3 linked regions of the Xenopus tropicalis genome follow. The protein of the gene in region 1 interacts with the protein of each later gene in a biochemical or structural test. Links are inferred from orthologs where the notes say so. Each region holds a gene or a part of one and is shown in the gene's direction. Other genes may lie near its edges. The genes, in order: prmt5, riok1 and snrpd1.

Region 1 (3,553 bases):
GGCTGCAAAGCAAGCAGAACGCAAAATCAAGGTGTACGCAGTAGAAAAGAACCCCAATGCTGTGATAACGTGAGTGGGAAATAAAAACCTTTTGGTAGTCTTTTGCAATACTATGCTATATTGCTATATTTGACATACAATTGTACAATGTACAGTGCTCTTTTAAACTCTCTTATCCTTATATGATCGTTGTTTTTGTCTCTCAGGTTGGAAGGGTGGCGTTATGAGGAATGGGGCAGTCAAGTGACTGTGGTGTCTGGTGACATGAGAGAATGGAAGGCACCTGAGAAGGCTGATATTATAGTTAGTGAGCTTCTGGGATCATTTGGTGATAACGAACTGTCTCCTGAATGTCTGGACGGAGCTCAGCACTTCCTGAAAGGTTCAAAATGTGCACAATTATCATTTATTCTTTTGATGTGGATCCTATGAACATTCCCTTGGTTTTATGTCTCCAGATTATCCTCATCACTTTTTGAATATGCCTTATGTGCCTTTTCTTTTTTTTGGCAGAGGATGGAGTTAGTATTCCCAGTGAATACACTTCTTACTTGGCGCCGATCTCTTCATCCAAACTGTATAATGAGGTACGAGCTTGCAGGGAAAAAGACAGAGACCCTGAGGTAAGTACATTTTAATATATTAAGTTACTTGTAGACATCATATTTTGTCCACTTGCCTGTAGTATAGTGATATTTGCAGATTCACAAATAATAGTGTTTTTCCTGTCTATTTTTTTTAAAAATCCCTTTGTTTTTATTTGTGGACCAGTGGTTTTTTGCCATTATAGAATGCTTTGATGGCAGCACATTTCCTACTATCTTTTGCTAGTAAAGCTCTGATAAATACAGCTCTATATTTTTATTTAGCTAAAATAAAACTTGCTTTTACATGGATAAATATAATTCAGTACTAGATGTTTAAAGAAATAAGATACTGCAATGTTGCTTCATTGTTTTGTCTTGCCTTTCATATTACTACTTTCTGCAAAGCAAGTAAGGGGTTATTCTACATTTTTGTCCTGTTAACCTGCTGAGTTCTTCAAACCTAAAAATAAAAATTGACTTTGATAGTTGAATGTACTGGAATAGTGTTCACCAGTTTTTCAAGCCTTAAAAGTAGAGTTCAGTATTAAGAATATATGCATTTTAAACCCTTTAGACATTAAGAAGTCTATGGAGATAAAATGATCCAAGGTATTGTAGTGTATCTAGACCAGTGTTTCCCAAAATTTGGGGCAAGCCAAACCTGAAGCCAAGTTTGGCCTACACCGATTTTGCTGTTCTAAATACTAGAAAGCCCTGAAAATGAATTAGGGTTATATTTGCTATCTTAATAATGTGTACAATTATGACTGGGTGGGGCCTGGCCAAATGTTGGACCTCATGTTGGACACAAAAAAGTTTAAAAAAAAAAAAAAAACTTATTTGGCAACTGGCCTATATTATAGGGTTATTTATTGTGTGAAGTTGTTTTACACATGGTCTGCTGTTTCCATATCTCCAGGCTCAGTTTGAGATGCCCTATGTCGTTAGGCTACACAACTTCCATCAGTTATCTGATCCCTTGCCATGCTTCACATTCCTCCACCCCAACAAAGGTGAGTTAGGAAAGGTGCAAAGAAAATCCATAGAACTGCTATATAGGTTTTTTTTGTTTGTTTCATTAGTTCTTTTCTCCTAGATGCTGTAATCGATAATAACCGCTACATTTGCCTGCAGTACAGAGTAGATCTAAACACAGTGCTACATGGGTTTGCTGGATATTTTGACGCTGTGTTGTACAAAGATGTGACGCTGAGTAAGCATAACCTTCCATAAGATGCATCACATTATTACAGACTTTGCATTAACTCATTGAATTTTCATTTAATTTTTTTCAAAGAATGGCCTTTTTGTACATTATAATCTTTTGTCTTTTGCAGGCATTTGTCCTGAAAGTCACTCCCCAGGCATGTTTTCTTGGTTTCCCATCCTCTTTCCTATCAAGGTAAATAATACATACACTTAGAGAACATCCACAATATCTATGTATAGATCACCCGTCTTGTTTACCCACTCATTGAAAGTATGATTTATGCAGTTTTGCAAATAGTCCTGTTGCTTCCTCTGATGTGGGGCCTTCATGAAGCAGGTGATAACTTTTAATATACTGGCATAAAATAAATATTCTATAGAGATTTTTTTGGAAGTTTAATAAGCTGACCAAGGGAACAGGAAGTAAAATAAAGTCAACTGCACAACATGACAATGAATTGTACTATTTATGCTTGCTATGGTGCTTTAAGTTATTGTTGTAAACTCTTAATTCTTTTTCTGTTTTGTTCTATTAACCAGTCCCTTTCTTTTTCAGCAACCCATTCCTTTGCGGGAGGGCGACACTGTTTGTGTCCGATTTTGGCGTTGTAATAATGGCAAGAAGGTTTGGTACGAATGGGCTGTAACATCCCCTGTGTGCTCTGCAATTCACAATCCTACAGGACGTTCCTACACAATTGGCCTGTGATAGACAAGTTTGAAAACCATCACCTTCATAAGAGAGTGACATGGGGCATACAACGAATGGAGAAATACTAGGGGTTTGTGCTGCAGAAGGGTAGCGCACAATGGGTTACTATCAGCACTTATGACTTTGCCTCTATGAGAGGCTTCCTGCAGTTGAACTGTATGTTTGTTCACTTATAGTCCTTTTTTTATTATGTGTTAATAGCAATGTTTAATATTAAAAGGTTCCTGAGTTAATTTATGCACCTGCGGACATTACATCTAAGAGTATGCCAAAGTTCTAACGTTACCTTTGAATACCGGTGGAAGTAAATTTAATATGAAATATAACCAAGTTTATTCAATTGTGCTGTTGATGGTTCAAAGCATTTTTTAGGGGAAGATACAGATTTTGTAACGGTCTATTTCTCTAGAATCACAAACCATTAAAATGTACCATCAGACATGGACTCTGCCTGGTGAGCAAAACTATTAATAAATCTAGTTCCTTGTGAGAAATATGGAATGCACAGATTTTTGTATTAAGCAGACCATTTGCCATCTCCCGCCCTTTATCGCAGTGTCATGCAACCCCTACCTTACCTTATTCCATGTAAAGCGATTCTGGTGATCTGCTTCTTTAAAAAAATCTGTGCACTACGCACTATAGAAAGCAGAGGGACTAAATGACTTAACAATGGAACAAGGTGGGAAGAGGGGTTTCATCTTACTGTGAGCCTAAGAAAGGAATTTTGCAATAAAATGTTAGTTTCCTTTCAGTTTATGGAAAAAGGTAGGTAAAAATTGTATATCTATATTTATTTTTGGAAGTTTAGTGTTTAAGCACCTTTTTTTAAGCTTCTCTTCCCTTTGACCCTATTACATGCTTTTCTGGGTTGGTGAGCTACTCTGACAACTAAAAAGAAAAAAACACACCATAAAGTTTTATTCTAATATGATAGGTGTTTTGCAGGTGGACCTGTCACCCTTAGAAATAATTACATATTTTCTATTGTGCTAGTCAGGCAAAATACTTACACTATATAAATAATATAAATCTTATTTCCTTC
Region 2 (4,307 bases), on another chromosome or scaffold:
TGTTATGATGGCATAACGTCATTTCCGCAATCAGCAGCTCCTGCCCGCCGTGTCTTGCATTATCCCTTGAATCGCAATAAAAATCGCGATCCATTCATTGCTTTTGCGAAGGCGTTGGTGCGGGCCACAAAATATTGTACCGAGGGCCGCGAGTTTGAGACCCCTGATCTACAGTTCTTCAGATAGTTTGGGAGCATGGCCACAATTAGCCAAGCTGCTGCCGACTTAAGAAGACTAAGCACAATGTATGTAGGTAATCGAGGCCCCAAAAGTTAAGTGCAAAAAAGCTTCCATTAATTGGCCAGACAGATATAATATCTTTCATGTAGTCCCTTAGTGCAGCACTGCTCATATCTGGCAATTAATGATGTGTGGGTTGACGACAAAGTGTCAGAGTTAAAATTTGGCCATGGGTTTGGGTAGGGTGCAGGTCAGACTATGGAAGTCCTCTGCTCCTTAAGATTCCCTGTCTTGGAACAAGAGGTAGCAGAAGTAGAGTATGGAGCAGGAAGACTCACGGATTAAGGTTTTGTGGGTTAGGGTCAGGGGAAGGTTGGCTTTTTCCCAAGACCGTAGATTACTACTGGCAACGTAAAAGGTAAAATCTAGTCCTATACAGAGCATAGTTTAGGGTTCAAACACATCATCATGCAAGTGCCATAAGTACCTATCACTTTCCTAGCCAACAAATACAGTTAAAAATAGGTTTAGCACTGCAGCTGTACTGCACTGGGAATAACAGAGCTGGCACGACTTGCAGTTCAACACTACTTCCATGTACTGTACTGAAACTCGCTGCTCTGATGGAGCCAACACTGTAACGGAATAGCCAGCAGCAGGCAGAACGCACACACAGCGGCCGCCGTACTACTAACCCGCACAGTACAGGGGCACACTGACGCTTATAGCTAGTTCATTACTAACCAGTGTAACCTGGCACTCACCCCTCCCTATCACATCCCTAACCCGCACCCAGCCCCGTTCTACAGCCAGGAGTCTTTTTCCATTTCTACCGTGTCTGCAGCGAATTCCTACTAAAGTACAGTGCCATTCACTACTCTCCGGCCTACCGCTCACTTAGAATTCTAGTCTTTACTAAGCGGCTTTCTCGATGCTAACATACAGAAACCTGGCCATGATGTAGCGCACAAATCTACCCTTCCTCACACACTAAGAACTCACCGCGTCTTCCCAATTTTGCCGATTGTACGTGTTTGATCCGAGCGACGTAGCCATGTTGACTCTCACCACGGCCCGGAAACCAACAGAAAAGCCTAGCACGAATGCGCAAACTACATACGCTAATACGCGTGCGCACTGTGGCACGTATGAGACCGGAATAGAGAGCTGAAATGCTTTCGCGTACTCTGAAGGCAGCACCAGTTCCGTCACATAGCGCTGTCTGGTCACGTGGTCTTGACGCACCGCACGTACAGTCTGCACGCCACATGTGAGCTACTGATATAATAAACACTTCCGAAGTAACCGGGTGAGTACTTGTACAAAGAAGGTTGATGGTTGGTCAGGTTTTAGGCAGTATAGTCTATGGTTGCAATGTGTACAGAGGTGGGAATTAAAAAACTATAAATCTCGTAACTCAAACTGGTCAGTGGAAGCCCCGCCTCAACCCAAAATAAATCTTACATGTCCCAGCATAGACTAGCGGCCAGGTTACTATGGCTTCATTATGGTTTCATTAAACCACGATTTTTTTTTTTGAGACATTCTATTTTTTCCAATTTATAGAACTTTTGGTAATGACCACGATAATATCGTTAAAATAGTGCGATTGTTTTGTGGTTTCCATTAACTTCCACAAAAAAAGTTGTATTTTTTGCAAAGACTATGGCCATTTCAGAATTCATTCAAGCTTTGGTGTTGTGACCTTTTTTGGCCAGGTTGGAGCTGTAGAGTGCTATTGAGAGTCCTATTGAAGGCTTTCAAAATCATGCATTGAAGTTTCAAAGCCAGAAAGGTTTTCTCTCCGTTTACGATAGCTCAGATACAAAAATTTTGTGACTTTCGGATCGCAACCACAATATTTTTGTATGACCAAGAAAAGAATTTAAGCACATCAGAAATTATCGTCGTTACTCCAAATCTTTTCCAATTGTGCTTTTGATTCGCGAAAATTGCTGTTCAAATTGGGTCAGTACACACAGGAATTCAAGCACCTGTCACCTTTTTGCCATGCTGCTTTCGAGCAGTTTGTCACTAAAATTCTACATAAAGCATTTAAAAAAGGCAAGGGGGGAAAGGCTAGACCTAATGTTAAAGATGTTTTGTGACTTATAAATATTGTTTTGTGACGTATTTAAATATTTTTGTGTTACCGTTCTTTAACAAAAACCTCCCATTTTGCAGGGATGTGTATCCAGTGAATGTACTAATGGGAAACATTGGTAGACTTTTGTTTATTGTGTGTTATATGGAGAAATCTATTTTTTTAGTTAATCATGTGTTACTTTTTATTCTTGTAACATTTTTTGGATACACTCTTTTCCAGGTATAAAGCAAAGGCACAAAATAATTTATACAAGGGAGCAAAGGTTAAGCCAATGACTTCTCAAATGTCAGATAATGAAGAAATGGAAAGTTATGAAAGTTTCCTCATGAGAAAAGAACAGGCATCAATGCAGGAGGAAGGAGCCAATAAAGAGGATAGTGAGGATGAGGAGCAGGATGAGGATGATGATTGGTATTGGGATAGAACTGATACAAACATGAAGCACTATTCGGCTACAAGAAGTAGTAATCCACAGGTAATTTGCTTTGCCTTGAAGGGAATTAAAAGTAAAATAATTCTTGACATATTACGGTTGCTTATGGCCTGTTGTAATTTGTGTTAAGACATATGATTAGGTGCCATGTAGGCATTAAACATGTTAAGTTTTTTGGTGTACATATTATTTGAATAAACCATTTTACTTTTTGTGTTTTTCATCATACCAGGAGTTATCAGAAAAGGTCTATGTAAATACAGCCATAAGCACTCACAGAAAAGCTGCAAAAGAAACACAGGATTTTCCTTTCTTCTTTTTTGTACACATGTTCTTCAGTATCAGATTTCCTGCTGTCAGAAACATCTTTCAGGGCAGGGGAATGAGTCTTCTCCTCTCTCCCTTTCCCCCTCCCTTCTCTTGCTCCCTCGCCCAACTGTGCTGTGCAGATCTTAGCTACCTGCAGCTAAAGCTGCAGCATGGAAGCTACTGAGACAAAGCTAAAATAGCAGCTTCTATCTTAAACAGAGAGAGGGAGCTTCTAGGACTCTGTACTCAGATATGGTAAAACTTTCTGCTCACTAAATATAGTGTTCTAGCTTGCACTATTGTGGCTAATCTGTTGGCAGTAAAATGCCAAAATGTCTTTCCTTCTCCTTTAATGTTCTTTCACATTCTTATTTAGAAACCACTTTGTTGTGTTCCAGGCTAACAGAAATGACATACAAAGTGGGTCCTCTAAAACCTACACTGTGTCAGATAAAGTTTTACAGAAGTATGAAAATAAAATCAACTTGGGTGAGTACAAATAACAAGCCTTAAGTGTAAGTCCTTAATTTCTGTTCAGTGTCCTTGAAGTGATTTGTGCATATTTCAAACTAGCTGTAATGAGGGTGCAGTTTCGGTTTGACAGATTCTGCTCCCAAAGTGCTTGGTTCTGCATCCTTTTATTGATAATAGCTTGCTTTTTGTTTATTGATATAATGTATGTATATCTTTATTTATAAAGCGCTACTTATGTACGCAGCGCTGTACAGTAGAATTCATTAATACAGACAGGGGGTTAAAGATAATGGATAAATACAAAGTACAACAATAAATACAATAAATACAAAGTGCAGTTGCAATAAGAGTCAGAAACACAAGATGAAGGCGGTCCCTGCCTGTAGAGCTTACAATCTATATGGGAGGGGTAACTAACAGACACAAATAGGCAAATATAAGTGCTATAGGTCACAGTGGGTGACATTACAGTATAAGTGCCAGTTTCCAGATCAGGTGCTGGGCGAGTGCTCCAAAAGGTAGTCTTTAAGTTTAGTTTTAAAAAGACTGAGGGATGATTCTCTCCGGAGGACATCAGGGAGGGAATTCCAAATGTAAGGGGCAGCAAGGCAGAAGGGTTTAAGGCGGGAAACAGCAGTAGTAGTGGGGGGCGCAACCAAACGGTTGCTCTGCGAGGAACGAAGGAGTCGGCCAGGAACGTACGGAGACACCAGGGAAGAGATGTAGTGAGGAGCAGAGGAATGGAGGGCTTTGAAGGTTAAGAGAAGGAGTTTGTAAACTATTCTTTGTTTAACAGAAAGCCAT
Region 3 (4,219 bases), on another chromosome or scaffold:
TGCTCACAAACTAACTTGAACAGTTATATCCCATGTGGCAGGAAGTAGAGTTTCTGGCTGTTATGTTAGACATCTGCTCACTCCAGCCTTTATAGGTTACATCCCCAACCTTTTATACATTCAAATGGAAAAAGTGTTGAGGAGCAACACAAGCATAAAAATAATCCTGGGGGTGGCAAATGAGAGCTATGATTGGCTATTGGTAGCCCTATGTGGACTGGCAGCCTACACAAGGCTCTGTTTGTCATTATACTTGGTTTTTATTCAACCAAAACTTGCCTCCTAACCAGAAATTCAAAAATAAGCACCTGCTTTGAGGCCACTGGGAGCAACATCCAAGGGGTTGGTGAGCAACATATTGCTCCTGAGCCACTGGTTGGGGATCAGTGCTTTAAGTAGTACTCATTGTGAGGGTATTGGGTCCAAGAAGTGAAGTGTAACGCTTGTTTGGCTATATATAGACAAAACCCATGCTAGTGTTAGGTTTAGAGCATGGGCTACATGCGACTCTCTTAGACAAAATGGGCCTTCGCTAGGTGGAAGAGACCATGCGGAGTAAGGGTGTAGTGGTCCCAGGCTCAGTGGAGCTGTTCCTTGAGATTCAGAAGGCAGCCAAAGAGAAAGTCACATCTCCTTGCTAGACACTATATGAGACTGCAAGGGGTGTGATCAACCCAAATAACCAATAAGGTGTAAACTATATACATGGGACTTTGCCCAGCAGGGGCGGGCCAAGCTGACCAGGCGCCCTAGGCAACCCGGTTGGCCACCCCCCACCCCCTTGCGTGTGCTTAGGCATTTGGCCACTCCCCCTCTCCCCGAATGGCGCCAAAACAAACGCAAGGGGGGGGGGTGCAATCCAATCGGTCATTGCCTCCACCACTAATTACAAGCGGTGGGGGCAATGACAAGTAGCAGGACTAGGGGTAGGCAGAAGAGGCTCCTGTCTGGCGCCCCCCAATCGTTGCGCCCGAGGCAGCTGCCTCTTCTGCCTACCCCTAGTTCCGGCCCTGTTGCCCAGTAACAGTACAAAATCAGAAGAGGTAGGATTTAAAGCCATAGGGGAGCTTAACCCTATGGGTCCCTACGGAAGATTCAAACCTCAGCACTAGTTGTCTAAAGGTCTCTAACAATGGGGATTGCAGACAGCATATCAAAAGCATGTAAAAAAAAAAAAATGCAGTGGCAGGTAAGCAGGTAAAGGGATGTTGTCTTCAGAAAACGAAACATTAACTTTTACCTAAAAATAAAGTTTAATAGTGAGAATACTTATTTTCATGCCATGCAATGCCAATGGCCAACCTAGATCCAAAATGAAATTTAGCTTCAATACCACGCCCTCTTCTACTTCGGCCCCGCCCCGATGGTGTTGTAGCGTTTCTGTTGAATTAAATGCACCAGTTGACTTTAGCTCAGCTATGTATGCTAAGTTTTTATTACAACAGTATTTCTTTATAAATGCATTGCGCTGTATTAGACGAAATTTTAAGTAATCCACAAGCATAAAAGGCTTCGCTGGAACGCCGCTTTGTGCATTTTATTTAAGCAAGTATCTTAACTGCAGTGTAGGCCTCCCCTTATAGTATTGCTTTTTAAAAGTCGAAAATGTAATTCTCCTTTTTCTACGTGGAGACAGGCTAGCGTTTTCATCTTCTATTACACATGTAACAAAAACTTCCGCCCTCGACTGGGGCTTCCGCTTCCGGATCTGACGTAGGTGCCGATTTCCGCTGGAACGTTGCTTTCGCTCAATGAGAATTCGGAGGGTCTAAAAGTAAATTTTCGCGTTTCATTTTGCCAGTCCTATAACCCTTTTCTGGCCGAAGGAGTCGGATCCGCGTTCGTATTAAGAAGTCATGAAGTTAGTTAGGTAAGCGTTTAGATTGTTATGGGTTCCTTCACAGAGGATGGTGGTGGATTGAGAGTTACGTTTGAGAGCTTTGTGTAAGTAGAAGATTACGGCGGGAAGTAAAGGCTCCGTCGGATAATAATGTATTAGCGAGTCTGCGTTGTAATATAAACTGTGTAACTAATGGGTTCATCACGAGCGGCTGGCCATGAACGCTTTTGTTTTTTTTTCTCATAGGTTTTTGATGAAATTAAGTCATGAAACTGTCACAGTGGAACTTAAGAACGGAACCCAAGTGCATGGCACGATCACAGGTAATACAGAGGGGCACATAAATATATACCATAACATTGCTATGTGTACTTAATGTGCACAATGGAAATACTTATTGATAATATCTTTATAAAAGAGACATACCATTTTGTCTTGCTTCAGTGTGTATTGGTTTATATACTACTAGCAAAGGTGTTACTGGTGGGAAATAATGAATTTTCTCAGACTTAATATATAAATAAGCTGTGTGCATCCATGATTGCCCAGTGGGCAGGTGGAACCATTTGCAAGCTGGCATTAAATAATGTGAATTACTGAAAGTCTAGCATGCACCCCAGTGCTGGATATGGCAACTTCAGCCAGCTCCTCTGATTGGTCTCACACTTATGAGCATTTGGATCTGTGGGTCAGGGTGAACATTTATTGGTAGGAGGTAGGTCCGGTGGGGAATATGTAGAAAAGGGGAAGCTTCCCCACAATTGTGGTTTGACTCTGATCATAATTGGCTGTGTATTAGTAACCCCTGTGGTGCAAAGAGCAGGGACTGGTTCTGGTCAATGTGTCTTCTCTGTAAGTCGGTGAAGCCATGCTGTTTTGAATACAGAGTGTAGGTCTTGTCATATACACATGCGTGTCACCTCAAAAATACAGTTCCGGCAGCATAGGTTACATAACTTCTGCTGTCTTTTGTTGCTAAGACTTGGCTTCTGTGCAGTAAGTTTTATTTTGATGGAATGTGCTAAGAAAAGTAGCGTTTATTGAAATTTTCGCCCAAAAACCCACTAGCCCCACCCACCTGTTTTACTACCTGCTGCCTTCTTTTCCCAGGCTGCATCTAGGCCAGTGGTTCGTGAGCAACATGTTGCTCTCCAACCCCTTGGATGTTGCTCCCAGTGGCTTTAAAACAGGTGCTTATTTTTGAATTATGGGCTTTGAGGCATGTTTTGGTTGCATAAAAACCAGATATGCTGCCAAACAGAACATCCTGTAGGTTTTTCAGTCCATATAGGGGTTACCAAATAGCCAATAACAGTCCTTATTTAGTAACCAAAGGAACATGTATTATGCCTGTTTTGCTCCCCAAGTCTTCTTATATTTGAATGTGACTCACGGATAAAAAAAGGTTGGGGATCCCTGATCTAGGCAAACCTGATAGGGAGCTGAAGCCTTCCTTTGTGTGAGTGCAGGGCTGTGATTGGCAACCCCCCCTCCTACTGTGTTTATGGCAGGGACCGTTAGGACACGCCCCCCTCCCTCATTTGAAACAGGGAACTAAGAGAATATTTTTGTTAATCCTATATGCCTCCTTTAAATTTTGTTGGATGCCCTAGTAAAGCACCAATAACTGCAAATAACAGTGATACTAATCTGTGATTACTGTTGTGTTCAGCCATTGGACAACTTCCCAGTTTATGGTACTCAGTGCTAATTTTTAAACCAGGGGCACCTAATCTCCCCAAAATGCCATCCCACCGACTAGAATGTAAATCGCCGATGCAGTGGCATATGCGGCAGGGCGATTTGCCGAAGTTGCAAAGGAACTTCGGCAATTTCTGCGCCATGTATGCCGTCCCACCGGGAATTACATTCTAGCCGGTGGGATGGCATTTCGGGGAGATTTGTCGAGTGGCGACTAATCTCCCCGTCTGCCACAGCCCTTAGTTTACAAAATATTCTGCCCCTGCTTGCAATGCCTATTCACATCTCCAACCTATTCTGTTGTGTTCTTTCATGTTACCACAAATTTGTTTGGACATGGGACAACAACTTGACAGAGACATCTCATCCGGGAGAAAGTCAACAGCTATTTTTAGTTACCAAAATTTTGGTCAAATAGAATGGGCCAGTCTGTTGTGGGCAGGGGGACCTGTCAGATTTTATCATACCATAGGGTACAACCAAATGCAACAAAACCTTTTTCAAAGATGTTCTTTTAATTTGTCATACGTTTACCTTAAAGGGCACCGATCGCGCTAAAATTGCTTCCCCACCAAAGTTGCAGGCTAATAGAGCCCACACTCTGGTTGGGAGATGCAGTAGTTTTTGGGTTTTTTTTAAAGTCTGTCTGCACTAGGCCGCCCCCCACCAGGAGGGAGC

The links.
Region 2: the proteins of prmt5 (region 1) and riok1 are reported together in a solved structure, tested with the Homo sapiens proteins (2 studies listed by BioGRID, with this or other methods). The link is inferred for Xenopus tropicalis from reciprocal best matches to the Homo sapiens genes PRMT5 and RIOK1.
Region 3: the proteins of prmt5 (region 1) and snrpd1 form a complex in vitro, tested with the Homo sapiens proteins (2 studies listed by BioGRID, with this or other methods). The link is inferred for Xenopus tropicalis from reciprocal best matches to the Homo sapiens genes PRMT5 and SNRPD1.

Annotation. Positions count from the first base shown.
Region 1 is NC_030677.2:140,165,823-140,169,375, reverse strand, and holds the end of prmt5 (protein arginine N-methyltransferase 5), read left to right. Parts: coding exon 1-69; intron 70-206; coding exon 207-382; intron 383-513; coding exon 514-623; intron 624-1,506; coding exon 1,507-1,600; intron 1,601-1,683; coding exon 1,684-1,800; intron 1,801-1,924; coding exon 1,925-1,989; intron 1,990-2,352; coding exon 2,353-2,505; 3' UTR 2,506-3,002; downstream 3,003-3,553. UniProt on the Homo sapiens protein: Arginine methyltransferase that can both catalyze the formation of omega-N monomethylarginine (MMA) and symmetrical dimethylarginine (sDMA), with a preference for the formation of MMA.
Region 2 is NC_030682.2:89,093,649-89,097,955, forward strand, and holds the start of riok1 (serine/threonine-protein kinase RIO1), read left to right. Parts: upstream 1-1,396; 5' UTR 1,397-1,489; intron 1,490-2,048; exon of another isoform or gene 2,049-2,148; intron 2,149-2,506; 5' UTR 2,507-2,558; coding exon 2,559-2,762; intron 2,763-3,427; coding exon 3,428-3,518; intron 3,519-4,307. Other genes in the region: pre-mRNA-splicing factor RBM22, read right to left, coding at 1,183-1,236. UniProt on the Homo sapiens protein: Involved in the final steps of cytoplasmic maturation of the 40S ribosomal subunit. Involved in processing of 18S-E pre-rRNA to the mature 18S rRNA. Required for the recycling of NOB1 and PNO1 from the late 40S precursor.
Region 3 is NC_030682.2:65,070,031-65,074,249, reverse strand, and holds the start of snrpd1 (small nuclear ribonucleoprotein Sm D1), read left to right. Parts: upstream 1-1,413; 5' UTR 1,414-1,856; coding exon 1,857-1,870; intron 1,871-2,086; coding exon 2,087-2,163; intron 2,164-4,219. UniProt on the Homo sapiens protein: Plays a role in pre-mRNA splicing as a core component of the spliceosomal U1, U2, U4 and U5 small nuclear ribonucleoproteins (snRNPs), the building blocks of the spliceosome.